Linked DNA regions of Pelodiscus sinensis. The protein of the gene in region 1 interacts with the protein of each later gene in a biochemical or structural test. Links are inferred from orthologs where the notes say so. Each region holds a gene or a part of one and is shown on either strand. Other genes may lie near its edges.

The links. The genes of interacting proteins can lie anywhere in the genome.
Region 2: the proteins of CDKN1A (region 1) and CCNA1 form a complex in vitro, tested with the Homo sapiens proteins (2 studies listed by BioGRID and IntAct, with this or other methods). The link is inferred for Pelodiscus sinensis from reciprocal best matches to the Homo sapiens genes CDKN1A and CCNA1.
Region 3: the proteins of CDKN1A (region 1) and CCND3 form a complex in vitro, tested with the Homo sapiens proteins (2 studies listed by BioGRID and IntAct, with this or other methods). The link is inferred for Pelodiscus sinensis from reciprocal best matches to the Homo sapiens genes CDKN1A and CCND3.

What each region holds. Positions count from the first base shown.
Region 1 is NC_134737.1:17,145,649-17,152,930, forward strand, and holds the start of CDKN1A (cyclin-dependent kinase inhibitor 1), read right to left. Parts: upstream 3,023-7,282; 5' UTR 2,817-3,022; intron 529-2,816; exon of another isoform or gene 1-528. UniProt on the Homo sapiens protein: Plays an important role in controlling cell cycle progression and DNA damage-induced G2 arrest. Involved in p53/TP53 mediated inhibition of cellular proliferation in response to DNA damage.
Region 2 is NC_134711.1:295,437,907-295,445,378, reverse strand, and holds the start of CCNA1 (cyclin-A1), read left to right. Parts: upstream 1-4,455; 5' UTR 4,456-4,534; exon of another isoform or gene 4,535-4,618; intron 4,619-7,472. Other genes in the region: SPART (spartin), read right to left, coding at 1-19, 1,684-2,508. UniProt on the Homo sapiens protein: May be involved in the control of the cell cycle at the G1/S (start) and G2/M (mitosis) transitions. May primarily function in the control of the germline meiotic cell cycle and additionally in the control of mitotic cell cycle in some somatic cells.
Region 3 is NC_134737.1:9,470,699-9,477,665, reverse strand, and holds the start of CCND3 (G1/S-specific cyclin-D3), read right to left. Parts: upstream 3,018-6,967; 5' UTR 2,797-3,017; coding exon 2,599-2,796; intron 483-2,598; coding exon 267-482; intron 1-266. UniProt on the Homo sapiens protein: Regulatory component of the cyclin D3-CDK4 (DC) complex that phosphorylates and inhibits members of the retinoblastoma (RB) protein family including RB1 and regulates the cell-cycle during G(1)/S transition.

The DNA.
Region 1 (7,282 bases):
AAAATAGCTCAGGAATTTTACATGCTTAGCTTGAAAAGAGATTTTCATGAGCTAAAGAGTTTGAGGGTTACTTTATGGTTATAAAGTAAAACCCCCAAAATGGTTTGGGTTGAACCGGGTTTCATTCCACACAGAATTCATTGTATTCCAGTAACAGAGTTAACTCTCACCTCTGTAATAAGCAGCGAATAGTTTGTTCAGCTCTGCCCTCACACAGTCTGACAATGTAGCCTTGTGCTATTCATCTGGAAGAGATTTTCGCACTACAGTGGCATTTGGCTTCTATATATCTTGAACCTTAACTTAATAGTCTCACTGTCTATAATATTCTATTGATCCCACTTTGTTTCTGCCTTTTCACCCAGAGAGGAAGAGGCCAAGAGATAAAAATAGAAATCAGCCCTCGTGTCGCCTGACAGTTCACACCCTTGTAAACAATTCAGTGGAATGACATCACTGCCAGCAGTCAAGTTCCAGCATGTCCAAACAAGCCCTGGCAGGTAACAAGTTTCAACTTGTTCATGCATCTAAAAGCAAACACTCACACCCATTAGAATGCAGAAGGCCCTCTCCTGAGAGATACTGAGTGCTCTTAATGTCTCCCACTGACTTAGACTTAAATCAGTGTCTAAGGCCTGCTCTATTCTAGGAACCGGGGTTCATATAACTGCATCAGTCAGGGACCTGAAAAATCCACACCCCTGGGCAGTGCTGTAAAGCAGACCTTAGTCACCATATAGACCAGTGGTCCCCAACCTTTCGTGGCTGCCGGTTGCCCAGGGGCGGGGCCGCTCACGTGCCAGGCATCTGGGGGTGGGGCCACGCATGTGCCGCGCTCCTGGGGGTGGGGCTGCCCACGCATCCTGTGCCGGCACTGCGCAGGTGCCACGCGCCGGGCCAGCACAGATATTTCGGCAGGTGCACATAAATGCCCCAGCAGGCACCATGGCTCCTGCAGGTACTGCGTTGGAGACCACTGATCTAGACAATGCTGGGTCAATGGGAGAATTCTTCCACCAGCTGGACTACAGCCTCTTTGGGAGGACCCCTCCCATCATACCTACCTAGACTGAAGTAGCTTAATATAATTTAATAATGGAGATTGCTTATCTCCTAGAACTGGAAGGGACCTTGAAAGGTCATTGAGTCCAATCCCCTGCCTTCTCAGCAGAACCAAGTACCATCCCTGATGAATTTTTGCCCCAAATCCCTAAATGGCCTCTGCAAGGATTGAGCTCACAACCCTGGGTTTAGCAGGCCAATGCTCAAACCACTGAGCTATCCTTGTAGCATTAAGTAGCTCAGCCCCTTGCAGGCATAGCAAGGCCCCAAACTGCACCACCTCACATTAGTCGGGAGTGTAGGCTGAAGCATTACGCTTAGTCAGATGACACCGGGGTGGGGTGGGGTGGGGTGGGGTGGAGTGGGGGGTTGTGGTTGAGGACTTTAAGAAGCATCAAAGTCATTTTCCTTTCCTTTCATACACTGAAGTTTTCTTGCAAGTCCTGTTACATTCTGCTAGTGGTTCCCAATTCTGCTAGTGGTTCCCAAACTTTTTGATTTTTTGAGAAACCCTCATGCCCCACTCCCCCCAAAATAGCAGCAAAACTTGGGGTGGGATTGCGGGTGGTGGTGGTTGGGTCACCTCTTGCCCCACCCTGGGATTTTCTCACACCCCCACCAGCAGGGCACACCCCTGAATTTGGGAACCCATGTAAGAGTCCTGCAGACTTGAACAAGTAGCAGATACAGTGTAAGGTTTGTGATCACCAGGGTGGTGCTTACCTAGCTGGGTTGGCAAGTGAAACAGCTTGTCACTGGCTCTGCGCACCCTGACTGCTCTAACATGAGTCATCACTCCCCTAAGCCCATTTCCCACAGGTGACTGGATACCAGTTGCAAAGGGATGGAATCAGTCACACGCCAAGCGCGGAGAGCTTGCTGCCTGGGCAAATCTCCCTGCTGCCTCATTTGCCCCACAGGCCGAGCGGTGTGCGCGAGGAGCATAGGGGGCGATTTTGCTCCAGTACTGTTTGGGATTCTTTGAGGAACACACTGTGTTCCAGCTTCACTTCGGGATCTTCCACCCCTGGAGCCTGTTCCTAGCTCAGGAACCTGCTCCTGGTGAAGCTGGGCATCTTTACCAGTCCCTTGAGTGGATCACAGCATGATCTGGTTCAAGAGGCAGCTGGAGACTATGGCAAGAGAAAGGGACAGCAGGACTTCCACAGAGACTGGCTGGAGCTCAGTGCAGCCCCCTTCCTCTCCATACACCCAAGTCAGGGAAGGAAGTCACAAGGGACAGGTTTTAAAGTTCAGCCTTCTGCGGCCATGTACTCCAGGCATTGCAGTTTCTAGGCGAGGGAGGGAGGAAGTGGCTGGGGTCACTCGGCTGGACTGTCAGGCAGCGCAGCCTAGCAGGCAGTTGGAGCACTAGGAACTAGCCGGGTAAGCAATGAGCGGGGGCGGCGCAGGCATTTCAGTGCCCCACGTCCCCCACCAGGGGGTGTTTATCGCCCAGGACACTCCAGCCCGACAGAGGCGCCGGGATGCCCGTTCTCGTTCACACCAGAGGCAGGGGCTAGAGGAGTCACTCCGGACGCAGGGGGAAGCCACCCCGTGCGCCCAGCGACCCCTCCCGGGACATGCCGATGCCACACGCTTTCCCTGCCGAGAGGAGCCCGCTTGCATCATCTGGAGCAGCCTAGGCGCGGAGCCACTGCGCGTTTACACCTTCCAGCCCACCCTTCACGGATCCGGTCCCGCCCCTGGCTGCCAGCCCCCCCGCCCTGTCACCGCGGCCTCTCCCGAGCTACCTGCGGCAACTGCCCCCGGGGCTGTGCCTCGCCGGGGGCCCGCCACTGCCGCGGGGGGGGGAGGTGCCAGCAGTCAGCCCCGCATGAGCTCGGACCGGCACCGGGATCACGGCTCCTCCTGGTTGGCTGTGCCCGGCGCTTCGGGGAAGCCCAGCCCGGGGCGCGCCTGGCAGTGACTCCGGAGCCCTCGCAGCAGGGCCGGGCTCTTACCTCATAGCAAGTGTGACTAACGCCCCCCCCCCCCCCCCCCGCGGGGCATGCCCGGGCACCGCCCGCCCTGCCGGCCGCAGCGCCCCGCTCGGAGCCCCGACGCGCCCCAGCGCTCCCTGCAGACCCCAGCGGCGTTGCCTCGCCAGCGCTGGCCCTGCTCGTGCCGGCGGGGGGCGCCCCAGTCCCAGCCCTCGGGGCGGCGGCAGCCCAAACCCTGCAATAGGTTCCCGGCGCCGGATCAGGGTAGCGCCGGGATCTTCGCTCTCGCAGCCCCCGAGCGGGGGGGCCGGTCCCGGCAGGCTCCCCAGCCAGCGAAACCGAGAGCGCCAGAGCAGAGGGACTGGGAGAAATCCCCGGCCGCGCCCCGGGAAGTGCCGGGTGACCCCTCGGAGAGGGGCCGCGCTTAGCCTCAAGCGCCCCAGGGTGGGATCCCCGTTACGTGTCGGGAAGGGGGTGAGAGCGGTACCCCGCTCCGGTGTCTGGGGGCCAAAGAGCTGGAAAGACCCCTCCGCTCAACGGCGCGCCCCGGAAGAGCGAGGGTCGCTGATGGTGCGCGGAGCAGCCTTGCGGCGGGGAAGGGGACGGATTAACGGGGACAAAGACAGGATCCCCCCTGCCCTCTCACCTCGCCGGATTAACGGGGACAAAGACAGGATCCCCCCGCCCCCTCACCTCGCCGGATTAACGGGGACAAAGACAGGATCCCCCCGCCCCCTCACCTCGCCGGATTAACGGGGACAAAGACAGGATCCCCCCGCCCCCTCACCTCGCCGGATTAACGGGGACAAAGACAGGATCCCCCCCGCCCTCTCACCTCGCCGGATTAACGGGGACAAAGACAGGATCCCCCCTGCCCTCTCACCTCGCCGGATTAACGGGGACAAAGACAGGATCCCCCCGCCCTCTCACCTCGCCGGATTAACGGGGACAAAGACAGGATCCCCCCCGCCCCCTCACCTCGCCGGATTAACGGGGACAAAGACAGGATCCCCCCCGCCCTCTCACCTCGCCGGATTAACGGGGACAAAGACAGGATCCCCCCTGCCCTCTCACCTCGCCGGATTAACGGGGACAAAGACAGGATCCCCCCCGCCCTCTCACCTGGCCGGATTAACGGGGACAAAGACAGGATCCCCCCCGCCCTCTCACCTCGCCGCAGTCTCCCCGCCCTGCGCCTCTCCAAGCCGCTGCGCTCTACGCGCTGCGCCCTGCCAGCCTCCAGATAAGCAGGCACAGGGCTCCTCCCCCGTCCTCCCCACCTGCTCGCACAGCTGATTTCCCCCGCCCCCCGCAGCCAGTCCCAGGCGCTGCGACCAGCTCGGTAGCCCGGACTGGGGGCTCTGGTGATATGTGGCAGCCTGCGCTGCTGGGGGCTGAGCTAACCCCACGGCCCGGCCGCTGAGTACCACAGCTTGGATCAGCTGCCAGGAGGCGCCAGTGCAGCCGCTGCACTAGCTGAGAATCTCGGTCCCACGGCCAGCTCCCGGAACCAGCCAGTGTATCTGCGCCCCGACCCTTCCAGTCACCAGGATCGAAGTGGCTGCGGAGGAGCAGGTGAGGTCTCTCCTAATGTTACCGGCTTGGCACATCTGGCTAGAGGGTGGCTAGCCCGGTCCTGGATGAACTGTTAATGTTCAGATCTAGGCTTCATAGCTCACTGGTAGGAACTTCAGGGCATTTGCTCCTAGCTACTAGTATTGCCAGGGCCCTCCTTAGGGTTCATGGGGCCCTACGGTGTAATTACACTGGTGCCCCGGTGCCCCACGGGGTGAGTCTTTTATAATATTCAGCTACACACTAATGAAATATGATAAAGCAAATTTTAAACCCAGGTCCTGTGTACATTAGTGCTCAGTGCATTCAGAAACTGACAGTAGACCTGGGGTTGGCATATGCCTGGGACATGGCTTCATTTCCACCAGAATGGCTCTTGCACAGGATCAGTGTTCTGCTAATGGGACTGGCAGGCTTTGTCACTTGTCAGTTAACTAGATCCTCTGCTGAGGAAGCAGAGCCACAGAAGGGAATAGGAAGAGGTGGGTGAATGGACATTAAGATCCAGTGGTGCCCCAAATTTTTGGGTCCCCTATGCCAGTGTTTCTCAACAAGTGGTATGGGTACTTGAGAGAAGTCTGGGGGGTACTTCAACACAACTGAAATGTGGAGAACACTGAATTTTTGTTTTTTTACAGCGCTTTGTTTTTGTACTTTTTACACCCAAAAATTTTGTCTGCCCAGCTACAATGAAGTTGTTTAAACAAATGCGTTGCAATGGTAGAATAAAATTGTGTGTCTGAAAACTGTGGGTCCTGGGGTACTTTAATAAAAAAGGTTGAGAAACACTGCCCTACAATGCTGCGTATTCTGGGTATGGGTAAGGACAGCTGGGAGCACTGCCCTCTGACTTCCCAGGGGCTCCCGTGCTGCAAGATTTTGGTTTGGCTCAAGGCAGTCGAAAACTAACTCTCTCAATAGGGTTTCCATACCAGAGCAGACCCAATTCATTCCGTCCCGAGCTTCTGTAGCAGCTACCGTATCTGCTGCTTCAGAGCAAAACCAAAACACAACGACCTCCCCATGGCCCACAAGGGAATACAGGCAGCTAACTCACATGGCAGTGAATGGAAATTAAGCTCTTTAGTGCCCTGAGAAGATCAGAGCCTGCGCTCCTAAACAGTTACATAATTGTTGCATATAAGAGAGGAAAGACGGAGGGAGAAAGATTCCTTCCTGATCTCTTCTGTGACCAGTTTATATCCTGAAGTGTAAGATCTGCCTTCCCCTTATCTCAGGACTTGTCTGTACTGGGGTCACCGCATCACTGCAAACCTGTATAAAAGCAAGGCTAACTAACTCACTAGGGCAGGCGTGTCCAAAGTCCGGCCCGCGGGCCAATTGCGGCCCGTGTTCCGGTTTAATTTGGCAATATCCCCAGGTAATTTGGCAATATCTATCTTTTATGGCCCCCAACGAATCCATATGTATTGAGATGAATACATTGTAAAATCTCAGTTAATGTCAGTTGGTCTAAATCAGTTATAAATATATTTGGACACAATGTGTATACTTGGTGTTATGTTCCTGTTCATATTTTTTGAACTTAAAAGTTGACAGACAACCTTTATTACCAATAATATGTAATGTACTTTACAATGTTCCTGACATATATTTCAGCTTCCTGGATTTTTTTTTCATCTGGCCTTCAGATATGAAAGGCAGAGTGATTTAACACCTGTTTAGATTTGTCATCCATGTGACGAAATGAAAAGTATGCCGTGTGCAATAAACTTTGCATAAAATAGTTAATTTGCGTTTAATTTTAATGGTTCAAAGAATGTCAGGCAAAATGGTCGGCCCTCACGCATGTTCACTTCATCAAATCTGGCCCTCGTTGAAAAAAGTTTGGACACCCCTGCTCTAGGGCAACGAAGTTTTACACCCAAGCCCTGTCTGCATTGGTGGCTTGCCATGGTACAGCTCCAGCTGAGGCTGGGTGTGTTTCACATCTATTTGGGAGGCTCTTTTGGATCAGAAATATACGTGCTAAATAAAGCATCTAATCTTCTGTTTCCAGGGTGCTTGCTGAACGTTCAGCACCTCCGATTGTTGCTGTTTTGGATTTAACCCCTTCCACAATGCAGAGTGGCACATTTCAGGCTGGCCTGCTCTCTCAGATAATATGTCTGGGCATGTTCTGTTGGAGACTGTCTCATGACCAAGGCAGAGCTTTTCTCTGCAAGTCCCCTTATAACACAGGATGCAGACACATCCCAGGAGTATGAAATCAGCTAACAGATATAATCCTAGGGCACAGAGATAGGCCCTGGGAAGCTGGGATCAGGAGTGAACTTCCCGAAGTTCAGGGGGATAGTTAAACACAGGATTTTAGATTGATGTGAGCTTTGATGTAGCAGTGACTAACGTATCCATGAACAAACCCATCTACCTCACACGCTCTTATCAATCTGCCCAACTCTAATTTTTGAATTCATGTGTTTTAATTCATTTTGAAAGCAAAGGCAAATGTACCTTGTGTTTCGCCAGCCACAAAATTCAGAGAGTTGTGTAAGCCAGAACAAGGGACTTCACTTTAGATTGAGGACAGCAGCAACCAAGAGTAAGAACAACAGTAAAGTCTTCACCATTAGAGAGCACAGTGTGTCTTTTCTGATTACCATTAGAAATATTGGAAAACTTCAGAGGGGGAGCCGAGTTAGTCTGTAACAGGAAAAACTTAAAAAACAACAAATAGTCTA
Region 2 (7,472 bases), on another chromosome or scaffold:
GATACAGCCAGTCACAAACCTGAGAATGACAAGTACCTTTAATTGTATAAATAAGCCAAAAGAAATGTCTGTTGAAGGATCTGTACAGATTAGCATCAGACTCCAAGGCTCCCATGTAGTTTTATTACAAAATCCTCAAAGTGATCCTGAAAAGTTTATTGGGATACATCATTCTCGATAGGTTACCAACAAAGTTAAATAAGTAACAAATACAGTTCATTTTCACAGGGCTCTTGTATAGCACAGCAACCTTTTACTGAGACCCAGGAATCCCAGCTTCAGAAGAAGGAGCCTACCATAATGCCAAGCGGGTGCTGGATTTACAGTCCCTCTGCCATTCTGCTCCATTCAGCGCAGGCTTACACGACACAGTGTAAAGAATGGGCCTGGCTGCCAAAGGGCTATCTAGAGCTCTTCATTCCTGCTAAGGCGTGCTTCTGCATGGCTGTGCACAAAAAATTCTTCTCCCACCCACCTCCTTCAGAGAGCTGCACAGACACACTTGGGTGGCAGGCAGCTGCTCCAGTGGGTGGGGTCAGTTGAGACAGTGTGGTAAGGAGCTGCTGGAGCAGGGGGCTGGGACCTATTTCAGTCACGTGGCAGGGGGGAAGGGGCAGGCCTGCTCCGGTGGCTGGGGCTGCCACATTGCTGGGTGGCCAGCGCCTGTTCTGGTGGCTGGGACCAGGAACAGCACCTGCCACATGGCCGTGGGGGGGAGAGGAGGTCTGCTCTGGTGGCGAGGAATGTGTGTGTTCATAAATTGGGTGCCAGGGTGGCACACATCCAAACCAGCACACATGACCTCAACATTGGTGCACAAGCCAAAACTCACTCCTCTCATGGTTGGAAAATCTGAGGGAGAACACTGGCTGCTAGCACTCGTGGACCTGAAACAATGGTGGGAATATTTCCCCCCTGTAAACAAGGCTAAAAAGATCCAAACGAATATCTCAAAGAGAATAAGGTTAGAAACGAGGCTAGAAAAACAGCACTAAAAACATATTAAAAAATAATGCTGCACTGGCAAGGTAGTGGACTAGATAACCTAAAATATCTGTTCTGGGAATGTAAAAATCACATTTAATTGGTTAACCAATTAAGGGGGAAGAGGGTGAGTGCCACTGAGCTGGAGTGGCCCCCAGCCACTTGCAGGGACTGTGCTGATTAAGGGTAAGGCTTACCAGTTAAATAGTTAAACATTCAGATACCTAATCTGTTCTATCCCTCGTTCACATAACTAGGTTGAAATTCAGAACCATGCAGTTATCCACCTAAACTGTACTAACACGTTCAGCTAGAAAGTTAAGTATGTAAGCCATTTTAAAACTGACCTTTCATACACTAATTCAGTTAATGGCAGTATATAATTCAAAAGGTCAAATTTATCTACAAAAGGAAAAAACAATACTGTAATATCAAAAAAAGTGTTAAAAGCCAACCCATTCCCATTAAAAAAAATCCACTGAAATATCTAGAGTCTTGGAACTCTCAGACGGACACAAAAGCTATTTCTTTATAGACACAAGAGTGTGTTTTAGTGGCATCTATACAATAAATGTACATGCCTCCATTAGCTACTGGTTGTTTCATAGTAACACAATGGTTCATTACAAAACTGTAGCTCATATGCAAAAATTAATACTAGATGCAATGTATTCTAAAATTAAACTTTAGAATTGTTACCTGAAGAAACGCAGGGGGACGATTCTGGGCCATTGCACTATCAGTGTCCAAGAACTTCACAATGCGCAGGTATCCGGGGTATGAAGGAGCACTAACCTGCCCATCAGGAGTCACAAAGAATATCTGTACTCCTTGGGGAATCAGGATCAATTCATCTGCATCTACTCCTAGACTTTCAATGGGAGGAGGCTGATTGCATTTTAAATAGTAGTCCTCTCCAACTGATGAAAATTCCCCTGTGTCCGTACCATAAGATACAGTATAGTGTCCTTCAGTAGCTTGAGGAGTATACACAGGAGGAGCTTCATGTGGTAGAGAGTGAGCTATTGGAGATGAAGGACTCATAGCTGGAAGTTGCCCTTTGCTTGTAGTTGCAACATTTTCATTCACTGCAGGAGGCCCAGATGGTGGAATCAGAGAATTTGGCTCAGGGGGCCTTTCTGGCTTTTCAGTAGTGGGTATCACTGGGTATAACTTGGGCACCTGTTGAGGCATATTCATTGTGATGGTTTGCATAGCAGGGGTATTTTGTTCTAGAATATTCAGTCGAGTTCTAACATTTTGTAAAGTTTCTTGCATCTTTTGCTGCATTTGTCTGGCAGAGTCCCACTGGGATCCTGTACATTCAGGACCTTGTGATGGAATGCTAACTCCTCTAAGCAAGTGGTCAAGTCCTTGCTTGTAGTAGTTCCTTGCTTCTTCCTTTTGACCCAATTCATCTGTATTCAGCCCTTTATTGACTAGCATAAAGGCTTTCTGGAACTCTTCTTTAATAGCTTTAATGTTTGCATCTTCTAGAGTAACAGGATCCTGTTCTTGTTCCATTACTGCAAATTGGAAGATAGTGTTAGCATACTTTCCTGATCCTTATAGGCAGGGCCGGCTCTACGGAGCACAGGGCCCGATTCCGGGGGCGGGGCCGCACACGTGTGGGGCCCTCGGCGGCACGGCGCATGCATTGCGCATCCCAGATGTCACGACACATGAGCAGTGCTCCCAGGGACTCACGCATGCGCAGTTCCCTGGGGGTACAACGCATGCATGGCCCCTCCAGGTGCATGCGCCCGGAATGTCACGACGCATGCGCCTTGCGCCTGGAGGGCCTGCGCAAGCGCTGTGTTCCCGGCTCTCTGCACATGCGCTGTGCTCCCGGCGCAAACATCGCTTCTCTGGGTGCAGGGCCCCATGCTGGGGAATCGGCTGAATCGGCCTAAGGCCGGCCCTGCTTATAGGCCTGTAATAAGAAAGGTGTGCAGTCAATTGTGACACTTCTTGTAAGAAACTTGTTTGGGTTCAAATCAGTATAAAGTCATCATAGTTCAAAGTATCCATACGTGCTGTGCAAAGTCTGACCTTTTTTATTACATATTTCTGGTTAACCTTTGGATTAGAAAATAAGATTCCAGCTCAGCTCACTGAGGACTCTAACCCTGGATTAATCAGATTTTACGTTAAAGAAATCAACACCTCTGACAGAGAGAAGCTATTGAAAGGGCTTATGTTCCAAAATATTTTATGACAAAAGTGTATTTGCACACACCCTCCATTGCAAAAATTTTGATAGTTTCCCATCTTCATTTACATCAACTTAGCACTTAAGCGCATAAAGTTACAAAAACAACAAAGTGAAACTCCAACAGAATGCAACACTATATATTGCAGCTACTGTTCAAAATATTTTGAATGGAATTATAGTTTCATTCAAATTACTCATAGATTGGGTATACAAATACTGTTTTGTTGTATAAAAAGTTTTTACATGTTCAATTCCAATAACATTCTGGACAAAATCAATTTGTTCATTTTGTACTCCATATTAAAATGGGAGTTTTTATACTATAAAAACTGAGGATGTGGTTACATTAATCAACTGTTTAAATTAGTCATCGTGCTACCTTGCAAGGTTCTGTGCACCCTTGTAGCCCGGGGAACGCAAAGATCTGGAGGGTCTTGCTGGATTTCAGTCCCTGCAGTTGCAGTCTAGGTCAAATATTAAGCCCCAGGAGACAGTGCAGATTCCTGATACAACACTTTTTGCATCTTAAAAGTCTTGGCCAGCAGCAACAAGCCACATAAGAGTTTTACATTAAAAATGTGGATTTGTATTTAAAAATCCATCTTAAGTGTTTTATTTTACCAGCCAAATCATTACAACTGAATTGAAAGCGCACAGACGGCGGGGTCCTGGCTTCTCCCCAGCGCAGGGATTCCCACGTGTGGGGCTGGACCCGCCTGCTCCGGGCGAGGGGCAGCCAGGACCCCGACCTCGGCCCCCGCGGCAGCGAGACGCCCGCCGCCCGCTAAGGCACCGACGCGTGGGGGAAGGGAGGAGCTGACGCGGGACTCTCCGCTCCACACGGGGGGACGCTCCAGCCTCCCAGCCAGACCCCGGGGGGGGGGGGGCCTTGTCCCCAGCCAGGCACGAAGCTCCCTTCGCCCCCTTCCCCCGCCCGGACCCGCCACTCACGGAACCGGGGTCGCCGGCGACCTGCACCTCCCAGCAACTGCCCTGAGAATCACGTGACCGCCCGTCAGCTGCTCCCGTCGGTCACGAGGAGGCTTTTGGGCTCTGAGCGGTTCCGACCGCCAGAGGGAGGCCTCTGCACGCGCCGCGCCCCCCCCCCCAGCCCGGAACGAGCGTGGTCGCCATTGGGGGATGAGGGAGGCGTGGTACAGCACGCGACCTCGCGCGTCGTCGTGCATCTGTCGTCATCTGGCATGACATCACAATGCCGCGTGACGTCACTGCAGCACAACGCGTAGGTGCCCTTCTCACCTGTCATCTCAGGGCCGTAAGGACGTGAGGGGACAAGCGGTTGGCGTCACAACAGCAGAGGACACGTTACTGCAGGTTCTGCTGAAAGGCTGGGAGGGCTTGTTGGGTGCACAGGGGGAATCTGCAGAGGAGGACACAGAAGCCTACTCTTGGTTGTGGGTGAGGCGGCTGTTTCACGCTCCCATTTGTGTTTTCTTATTGTCAAACTTCCCATGACATTTTCTGTGCATAATAGGGTGACCAGATGTCCCATTTATACAGGGACAGTCAGCATATTCCAAGCTTTGTAATTTACACCACCACACATGCTAGTCATGTAGTTTATAGAAAGTTGGTAATATGCTTTAAGCAGTTTGTGAGTCCATTAATGGCCCTCACTGTTTTCTGTGTTTCATAAGTCATCAGGAACCCTACCAAAGCAGTAGTGTGTATATGTAGTTTGGCCTTGCATGTTATACAGATAATGAACCAACACAACCATTTGTTGTTTTTTTGAGCAAACACAGTTATTTAGACTCCCTGTGCCCATGTGGTTCTTTCATATTGCTGCTATTGTGAAAAAAGCCAAAGACCCAACATTTCCCCAGATCCATTAACAATATGCCAGCAATCTTCATTGTGACTTAATCAAATGTTATTGTGATTATCACCTAATTAAGCATCTGATTAGTGTTACGTGAGTACCAGCAGTGTATTTCATCAACAGTGCCCCAACCAGTGAAAAAAACCCAACCTGTAAATGGTTGCTGTGTGGAGAAGACCTAACTGTATGAAAAGACTAAACAGCTATTAAAAATAACAAACTTTTGAAGTGGAGGGATAAAAAATCTTTTTCTAGGATAATTTCCTCTTTCTATCAGAGAGCAGCAGTCAAATCTTGTAATCATTCACAGATCTGTCCTGAAGCAAAGTGAGGAAATTGCAAGAACATCCCCCTAACAATTTTTTCCAGTCTTATTCTGATTGAACTTAGAATGAACTGGCAGTTTGCTAAATGTGCAAAAAATATTAAGTTTATTTACTCTGAAGTGATAGACTCCGACTACAAATGAGAGTAAGGTCAGTGTACTTTTTAAAAAGTTGGACAGAGCATGACTTTTGGAAACTGACAGCTGGCTGCTACATGGACATCTTTTTTATCATATTGCACTCCTGCAACTTGCATTTAAATGTATATTTTCTAACCCTGAGAAGATGAGGTTGTTCCTTTTCTAGGATCTACCTATGAATACTGGTTGTGAATTGCTTATGGCTGGTTGTCAGACCTGATTCTCCACTGCTTTGCACTTTGAGTAATCATTCACCCATGAACAAAGTGAATATTGAATACTGGACAAGTGTAAATGACTATACAAGGGCAAGATAGGAGAGAACTGGGCCCATTTTCTCTGACCTCAATTTCTCTCACTTTCAACATTCCTGTTGTCGGTAATTCAGAGCAGTGAAAGTGAAATACTTCGAGACCAGCCCAAAACTGAGTGACATGTGCGAGACACATTGCAAGTGTGGACAAAGTAATTGCAGTGCTTAATTTGTAATGAAAGAAGTGCCAGGGCTTAAGCAAGTTAGTGCTGGGGCTCAAGCAGTTGTTTTAGGGTACGTCTAGACTACCGCGTTTTGTTGACGGACGTTTTGTTGACAGATACTGTCGACAAAACTTCCGTCGACAAAGAGCGTCCAGACACATTGAGTTCTGTCGACAAAGCAAGCTGCTTTGTCGACAGAACTCCGTAGTCTGGACGCAGTGTTACAGGCAATAACACCTTCTGTCGACAGAGTTCTGTCGACAGAAGGTGTTATGCCTTGTAAAATGAGGTATACCAGCGTCGACAAAACTGCTGAGTTCTGTCGACATCATGTCGACAGAACTCAGCGGTAGTGTAGACGCTGGTATAGTTTTGTCGACAAAAACTAGGTAGTCTAGACACACCCTTACTTTCATAACTAGAGCCCTGCAAATCTGTGGATATCAGCTTTATATGCACATATGTGGATGTGGATCTCCAGAGATAATTTCTGCAGATGCGGATACAAATTTTGTGTCGCACAAGGCTCTATTCATAACTGATGCAGCGACTCTGAAGTGCTGGGGCTGTGAACTACCAAGCCGAGGGGTGCTCAGCCCTTGTGAATCCTGGCACAAATGAAGCACTGAGTAACTGGAGCTATTCAGTATGTTGTAGGAGTCTCACTGTCATGGAGAACAATGCCTTAGAAATAACAGATGCAGGCGGCTCATCAGCTAGATCAGACTGGCTGGAAATTCAACTTGATAACTCAGTTGCATGTAACAGAAGTCATTAGCCCTCCCAACAACAATGTCCAGAACTAGAGCTGGAGAACTGCTTCAGTATAAAAAGAAATACAATCAGGAATATCAAAATGGTACACTGGGACATTTTTAAGTCCAATGTTTTGCTTGTTCCAGCTAGATTCACAACAGGATTTAAATGGCATTCACAAAACCAAGAAGGTTGTGCCTTCCCCTACACAATCCAATAGTACAGTGGGTAGGTGCTTACCTGGGATGTGGGAAAGTCAAGGGGGAATCTCCAGTCTAATGCAGAGACTTGCAAGAAGGTTTCCCCTCTTCCCTAGAGTGTCAGCTATTGGCTATCTTGGAATAGGTCTCTCTCCATTTTGAAGCTGTTCTAGTTTGTATAATTAACTGAAGCAAGAACTGGAAACTGGGCATGCCCTAATTACCAAAGTAAATAGTAATTCTAACTCTCCCTTTGGCCCACTGACTCCTCACTTTTGTGACTGGCATCTAAGTCCCCTTGTGAATCTAACCCTTTGTTTCCAGATTTACTGCTTTTATATAAAAAAAGGGTAAAAACGTGAAATTGAAATGAAATATTTTGTTCTGTCAAAGGAAATGTATCCATGAACCGGACATGGATTTTTTTCAGAATTTTCAATTCCCCAAAAATTCAGATTTTTAAAAATATTTTTGGCACTGCTAATCAGGGTTCCCTCTAAGCTGCATTTCTGCACGGCTGCATGTATGGAA
Region 3 (6,967 bases), about 7.7 Mb from region 1:
CCAAAGCAATCAATGGGGAATAACAGCTGGGCTGCCTGGGACCTTGGCCAAGAGGGTGGCTCTAAGTGTGGCGGACAGTTCTACCTTTCCAAAAGGTAGTTTGTCCAGTTGGGCAAGGAAGCTATTTGGGGAACATGGGGGGGAAGGTGCTTGGGAGAACAGAGGAAGGAAGTCAGAAGCAGTTATGCCCCCAAGCAGCAGCACAGAGAGGATAAGAGAGCTGGGGAGTGGGTGAGAGACTGTATCAGGCAGAGTGGGGAGGTTACCAAGATCTGCTTTGGTGTGATGGAATTGTCTGTGTAAATGCAGAGTTTCTCCACAGTCAGGGGCATGGTCTCTCGCAACTTGGAAGCCAGGAGCATGCAGACGGCCCCCAGGAGCTGCAAGTGATTTTTTCGAGTATGAACTGAAGACAGGTAGCGATCCACGTAGTTCATAGCCAAGGGGAAGACCTCCTCTTCACACTTCTGCTCCTCACACACCTGGCAGAACCCAACAGAGGAAAGGAAGGGTTTTAAAGGCAGCCCCAGCCTGCACCGGGACTTCAAAACTACTAGTTGCCATAGTTTCTGGCACGTGTGGAGCCTTTTGTCTGGTGCTCTCAAAGCCCTTTTAGGTTTAAGAGACAAATTCTCCATTGGTGTAACTCCAGCCCACCACCCGCAGGGAATTTGATGCAATGTGCTACAGTTCACCTCCCTTTCCTCTGGGAAGTAGGGAAAATAGAGAGGTTAGAGACCAAAATCTTCTAGAGGGCCCACTGATTTAGGTCTTAATTACCAGATGTGCCAATCACTTTCTGCTCTCCTTAAATGGGGGTGCTCAGCACCTCTGAAAAAAAACAACCCAGTCCCAATGTAGCTTCAGCTGGCCCAAAAAAGGAGGCACCAAGAATCAGTTGCCACTTTTGGAAACTCTGGGCTAAGTGACTTGCCCAATATCACAAAAAGAGTCACTGGCAGAGCCCAGGATAGCAACTGCATTCAAACTCCTGGCTCCCCTTCTCTGTCTATGGCACATTCATGAGAGGCACAAACAGAACCCAGGAGTCTGCAGGTCAACCCCTTCTATACATGCCACTAGGCTTTTAATGAACAGCCATATTTCCTTGTTTTAACAGAAAAATATTGAATTTTCCCCTTGTGCTATAGCAACTGGCATCCTTCTCTTTCACCCTGTAACTTTGCCTCCCAATGTCCTCTCTACCCACATAAAACCGCATGCCAGAGACTTTTTCCTTTTAAAAAAAATAGACTCACTTCTCATTTCAGATTTAAGTTTAGCTGCATTCCCTCTCACCCTCATTCAAAATAAAAAATGAAAAATTAGCATTTAGAACTAAATCCTGCTGCCTCTGAAGTCAATGCAAGTTGTACCACTGACTTCAATAGGACCTACGTTTAGGCTTACTAATGCAAATCCTATTAAATTGGGAAATCCCAAAGATACCGCCTCCAACTTTACTATGGGCTCCTTCCACTTTACTGAGGTCCCTGCTTTGCAGGATCAGGCCTCAACACACCTTTTAGCCAAGTAACTCTCTCAGAAAGTGCACTTAAGAAAAAGGATAATTAAAAAAGTTGGAATCGGCATGTGATTAAAAAAAAACCCAGGCAGTATGTCACAACAGCCAGTGAAGTGGAAAGAGCCTCAGACTGAATTCAATCCAGATTCTATTTCTTCCTCGTGTAATCTCATTTTCCTCCCAATCTAGGCTATTCAGGGCTTGATCATTTATGAAAAGCGAGAGACATCTGGGATATGTTCCTCCTTGAGTTGTTCAGTGCGCAGGATTGCATTCCTTTTAATTTAGCGGCGTGGGAGGCTGGGATCTTTCTGCCCAGGCTTTCTCTCACACCGCATTGGACTCCCCCCCCCCCCCCCCAACTGTCCGATGAAAGGCAGAGACCTTGAAGCGGACAGTTTCCGGGCTGGGGTAAAACCGGAGGGACCCCTACAGGCAAAACAGGGTGTGGAGGAGAGCAGGTTGTGTTACCCCCTCGGTGCAGCAGGAAATGCTGCAATTCCGCATATGCAAAGGTGGAAATCATGCCCCCACCCAAGCACCCGGGGTCTTTCACCTGGGGGGGGTCTTTCAAATGCCCCCGTATCCCACTATTTCCTCTGCCTCCTCCCCCCCAAAAGATTGACTCCTCCCACCACAGACCGAGCCCCACAAACCAGCAGCCTCTCCCCCGCTCCATCAGATTGTTTCCTTTGGAACTCACGCGGCAGCAAGTGACATTGCAAACCGCCCCCCCATTAGCTCCCCCCCAACTGATACAGATTCCCCAAACCAAGTGACTTCCCTACCTTAAAAAACCCAAAAAACACTTCTCCCAACCCAACTGTCCTCCTTCCATTACCGCCGCCACCGCTAGGCGACCCCACTAAATCCTTTGCTCCGTTTACACTCAAGACTGGGGTGGGTCTCTCTCTCCCACACCCAGCAAGCATAGCCCCTCTCCTGCCCGAGCCGGGCAGCCTGTATCTGCGGTGGGGACCAAGGAGGGTAGGCAAAGGAGCTGCTGTTGGACTCCAGGATGGATCGGGAGGGAGGGGGTGGCAGGACCCGGATTGAGGGAGGGGGTCCCGTACCTCCAGCATCCAAAAAGCCAGCATCTTCCGCATGTACGGCTTGATCTCCTTCTGCACGCAATGGAAGTAGGAGACCCGGGGACTATAGCGCTCCTCCTGGCTCAGCAGGTTCTGCAGCACCCGCCGGTCCCCCAGCAGCTGGGGATCGCGCTCCGCCCTGGGCACGCGGGGGGCCCCCTCCACGCACAGCAGCTCCATGTGTCTGGATCCTGGGGGGTCAGGGCACGAGAACGGGGACAGCCGGAGCAGGGACGGAAGGGGGGGCGCGCAGGGGAGCTGGCGACAGGGAGAGGGACACCCCCAGCCGGGGAGCGGGGCTGGGCGATCAAGCAACAGCGACCCCAGCCAGCTGCCTCCCGGCCGCTCTGCCCCACGCTCCCCGCCGCACTGACAGCGCCGGATCCACTGTTACAGTTTTTAGAACGTCGGGAAGTTAATGGGCGGGGCTACGGGCGGGGCCCTGCTCGCGGGAGGGAGGGGGGAGGGAGAGGAGCTGCAGTGCAAGCCCCCTGGGTCCCATGGTGGGCTAAGCGGCTGCCGCCTCGGAGCAGGGCGCCGGTCGCCCGCCCCTCCGCTCCAGATTGCAAAGCAAGTGAAATCCGCCCCCCCACGGTTTTCTTTTTCGCAAGCAATGGCCCCCTCCCCATGCCCCCCGAAATCCCCTCCGGTTCCATGGCTTCTTGCCACTGCTGCTACTGCACAGCCGGTGGTAAGGGACGCTCATTTTTCATTCCACCCAGTGGATGCAAGCTCTCCCATTGCTGCCCGGGGAAGACTTGGAGCAGTGTTTCTCAACCAGTGGTACCAGTACCCTGAGGGGTACCTGAGAGAAGTCTGGGGGGGTACGTCAACACAACTGAAATTTGGAGAAAACTGAATTTTTGTTTTAAGTTTTACGGCACTTTATTTTGGTACTTTTTACACCCATAAATTTCATTGCCTGCCCAGCTACGTTGTTTAAAGAAATGTTGGGGAAAAAACTGTTGTGTCTGAAAACTGTAGGTACTGGGGATACTTATAATTTTTTTTAAATAGAGGGTACTTTATAAAAAAAAGGTTGAGAAACACTGACAGAGTGACCAGACAGCAAGTGTGAAAAATCAGGTTGGGTGTATGGGGGAAGGGGAGGTACTAGGCACCTAAATAAGACAAAGCCATGGGGATAGCTGGTCTTCCTGCCTCAAGACATCAATCACCTGGAAACATCGCCATGCGGCAGTGGTGCAAGGTGACAGCACATCACATGGAATCCATCCGTGTCACACTACCTCAGAGAACATGCCGGGCTGTACGCGAGGCATGACTGCACATTGCCCTGAGTCGAAGAGTGTACAGTCCAAAAACCCAAAAGAAAGGCAAGAGACTGGACTGCAGAAACCCAGATGAGCAAATAACTTGAGGGGAGGGGGTTTGTTTTTGTTATTTTTCATTAGCATTCATTGCATTTTACTACATTATCCATCTATCTTGAGTACAACCACCAATGTTACCAAGTTACGGCATCAAAACCAAGATTCGTGAGCACACTATGACTATTCCTCGTGGGGTTCATGTTCAAAACAGGACAATCTGGAACTCAGATCCGTTGCCTGCTCTGTTAATCTATTATTTCAGTCTCTTTGATAGTTAATTCTGCCACTTTTTTCTTTGTCTTTTTTTTTGTCTAGCCCTTAGAAGCTATGAGAATAATCAGATAGATGTGAGTCTGTTGAAAGTATGTCTGCACTGGGCTTTTTCCTCCAAAACCTATCCGAGTATTAATGCTAATACTAATGCAGCTGCCCTGGAGACAGCAACATTGGAAACGTGTGTAGATGAGGCTTCGGCAGCCACTGGTGTTAACAGCATGTAATAATGGTTTTGAAAGAATACATTCTTAACTTTTGAAAACTACCCTGAGCTCTTGCCTATTTAGACTAGAGCCTCCTTAGGGCAGGACTATCTCTTGTTCTCTGTTGGGATCTCTAGACGCTCTTGCAATACAAATACTACTACTAATAAACACCTGGCTTGTGTACAAGAGGAGCAACATTCCTCATGTTGCTAACACTGTTGGAGCTGTACCAGTGTTAGCAATGAGAGATTTATTTTTTCACAGCTTTTACTACATGCCTCTGCATACTCAAAGCACTGCGTATGCTCAGCACATGGTTTTCACAAGTTCATAACTTCTTTTAAAACCATTTTTTTTCAAATTTAGCACCGATTAGAGCCTGCTTTCCAGGTTATTTGCCTGTCAAGTGCAAAGACTTAAAGCTGCTTTTGAGTTATCCAAGCTCAAAAGAAGGTCAGACTGCATCATTTAAACGTAAAACATATTTTCCCTTCACAACTACAGAATTAGAAAAAGAGCTGAATGGAATTTCTTCAAGTTTTTGAATAAAAACAAATTAAAATCGTTGTTGAGATTGAGAGTGAGCATGAGAAATTTCAGCCCAAAAGGTCAAACTCTGAGAAAATTCTGAATATGAAAAGAGAGAGTTAGAATGAAATGGCCAGCTCATACGAATTTGGTAACTCCCACAATGCTGTAATATGGCAACTGTAGGAATAGTTGGAAGCTGGGTGATTAATCATATAATCATAGAGGTTAGTGGTGGAAAATACTTTCAAGATCATCTACTCCATTCATTTGCTCCTTATTCTATATTTTAGTGCTTTATCCACTCTGGGATTAAAAGTCTCCAGAGAAGATGCTTCTTCCATGCTGCTTTGCAAAGAGCTACATGCAGGAGTTTATCCCACAGTATTACTGTACTAAAATCACATTAGGTGTGCTGAGGAGTGGTAGCTGACCCATGGATTCAGACTGGGGTGGCCAAGGGTCAGCTGGGAGGCTTGGGAAAAAGGCGTGTAAGTCACCATGCCCAGGAGAAATTAAATACATAGATATTACGGACATGTTGGATGAAGTGTCATGTACCTAAGATGGAATCTGTGATCAGTATTAGCAGGTACTAGATTAGTATACTATAAGGCATTGTAGGAGCATTCGCCTAGACAGCTGGTTGTATAGCATTCCATCTTAATCATCTTAAAAGAATGTAGGATCAAAGAAGTTAGAGATTGAATGATCAACCAGATCTTTGAGTTTATTCTCTCTCCCCCCAGATGAATTCACTACCACTTTGAGGCATCCTATACTTTTTCTTGACCTTATAAAAATCTATGTTTAATCATTGCAAAAAATAGGGACTGTAAGAAAAAACATGTTTTAAAAATGTGTTTATTTTTGAGCATAAGCAAAACAAGACAAAAGTCTTTATCTGTCCTGTTCAGGAACATTGACCCTGAAAAGGAAAAAGATAAATAAAAAATTCTTTTTTGATCAGAGGCTTCATTTTGCATCTCCAGAAACATGAAGGTCGTGTACATACCAGATCTGATATGAGGCACACTAGCACTGAAAATTCCATTTACTTCAAGGAACATGGGACCAAGCACTATCTATCTGTGCCATTTCTAATGATCCCAACATCATAACTACAATAGTATCTTGTTCCTGATTACATGACGTGTTACACAACACACAAACAAAATCTTATTGCCATGTAGCAAAGGAGTAAAGCAGTGAGTGTATGTGGAATTATATTGATTCCATCCCAGTCCTAAAACGAAAAAGGGGAATTTCAGTAGGTGATATTAGAGAAACAAGGTGGGTTACTTAATACCATAAGAACGGCCATACTGGATCAGACCAAAGATCCCTCTAGCCCACTATCCTGTCTTCTGACAGTGGCCAATGCCAGATGCCCCAGAGGGAGCGCACAGAATAGGGAATCATCAAGTGATCCCTCTCCTGTCATCCATTTCCAGCCCCTGACAAACAGAGGCTAGGGCTACCATTCCTACCCATCCTGACTAATAAGTAATGATGGACCTAACCTCCATGAATTTATCTAGTTCTTTTTTGAGCCCTGTTAAAGTTCTGGTCTTCACAACATCTTCTGGCAAGGAGTTCCACAGGTTGACTGTGGAATATCTTTTATTGGACCAGGTGGGGAGAGAGAAAAGCTTTCAAGCCACACACTGCATACAAGTAGGTGAGATAACATTCCAAAAATCCACCTCCACTGCACTTTCCATGGGCATGAAATATTTGAAGAATCCATGAAAGCAATTTCTTTAGACCAGTCAGATGGATTCAAACCAGGGTGACCCTCCTGCCCCCTATTCATTTATTGTTGGAAGCGTCTTTTGTATACAAAGTGAAGAGGGCTTAAATCCCACATTTTCAGTAAAAATATGTTATTTTCTTTAGCCAAGCAAAGGGAAACCACAGTGCTGGGTTCTTGGTCCCTACATTTTCTGGACAATGTCATTTGAAATTGAAAGCTTCAGGACATATACCAGACATAATGGGCTCACA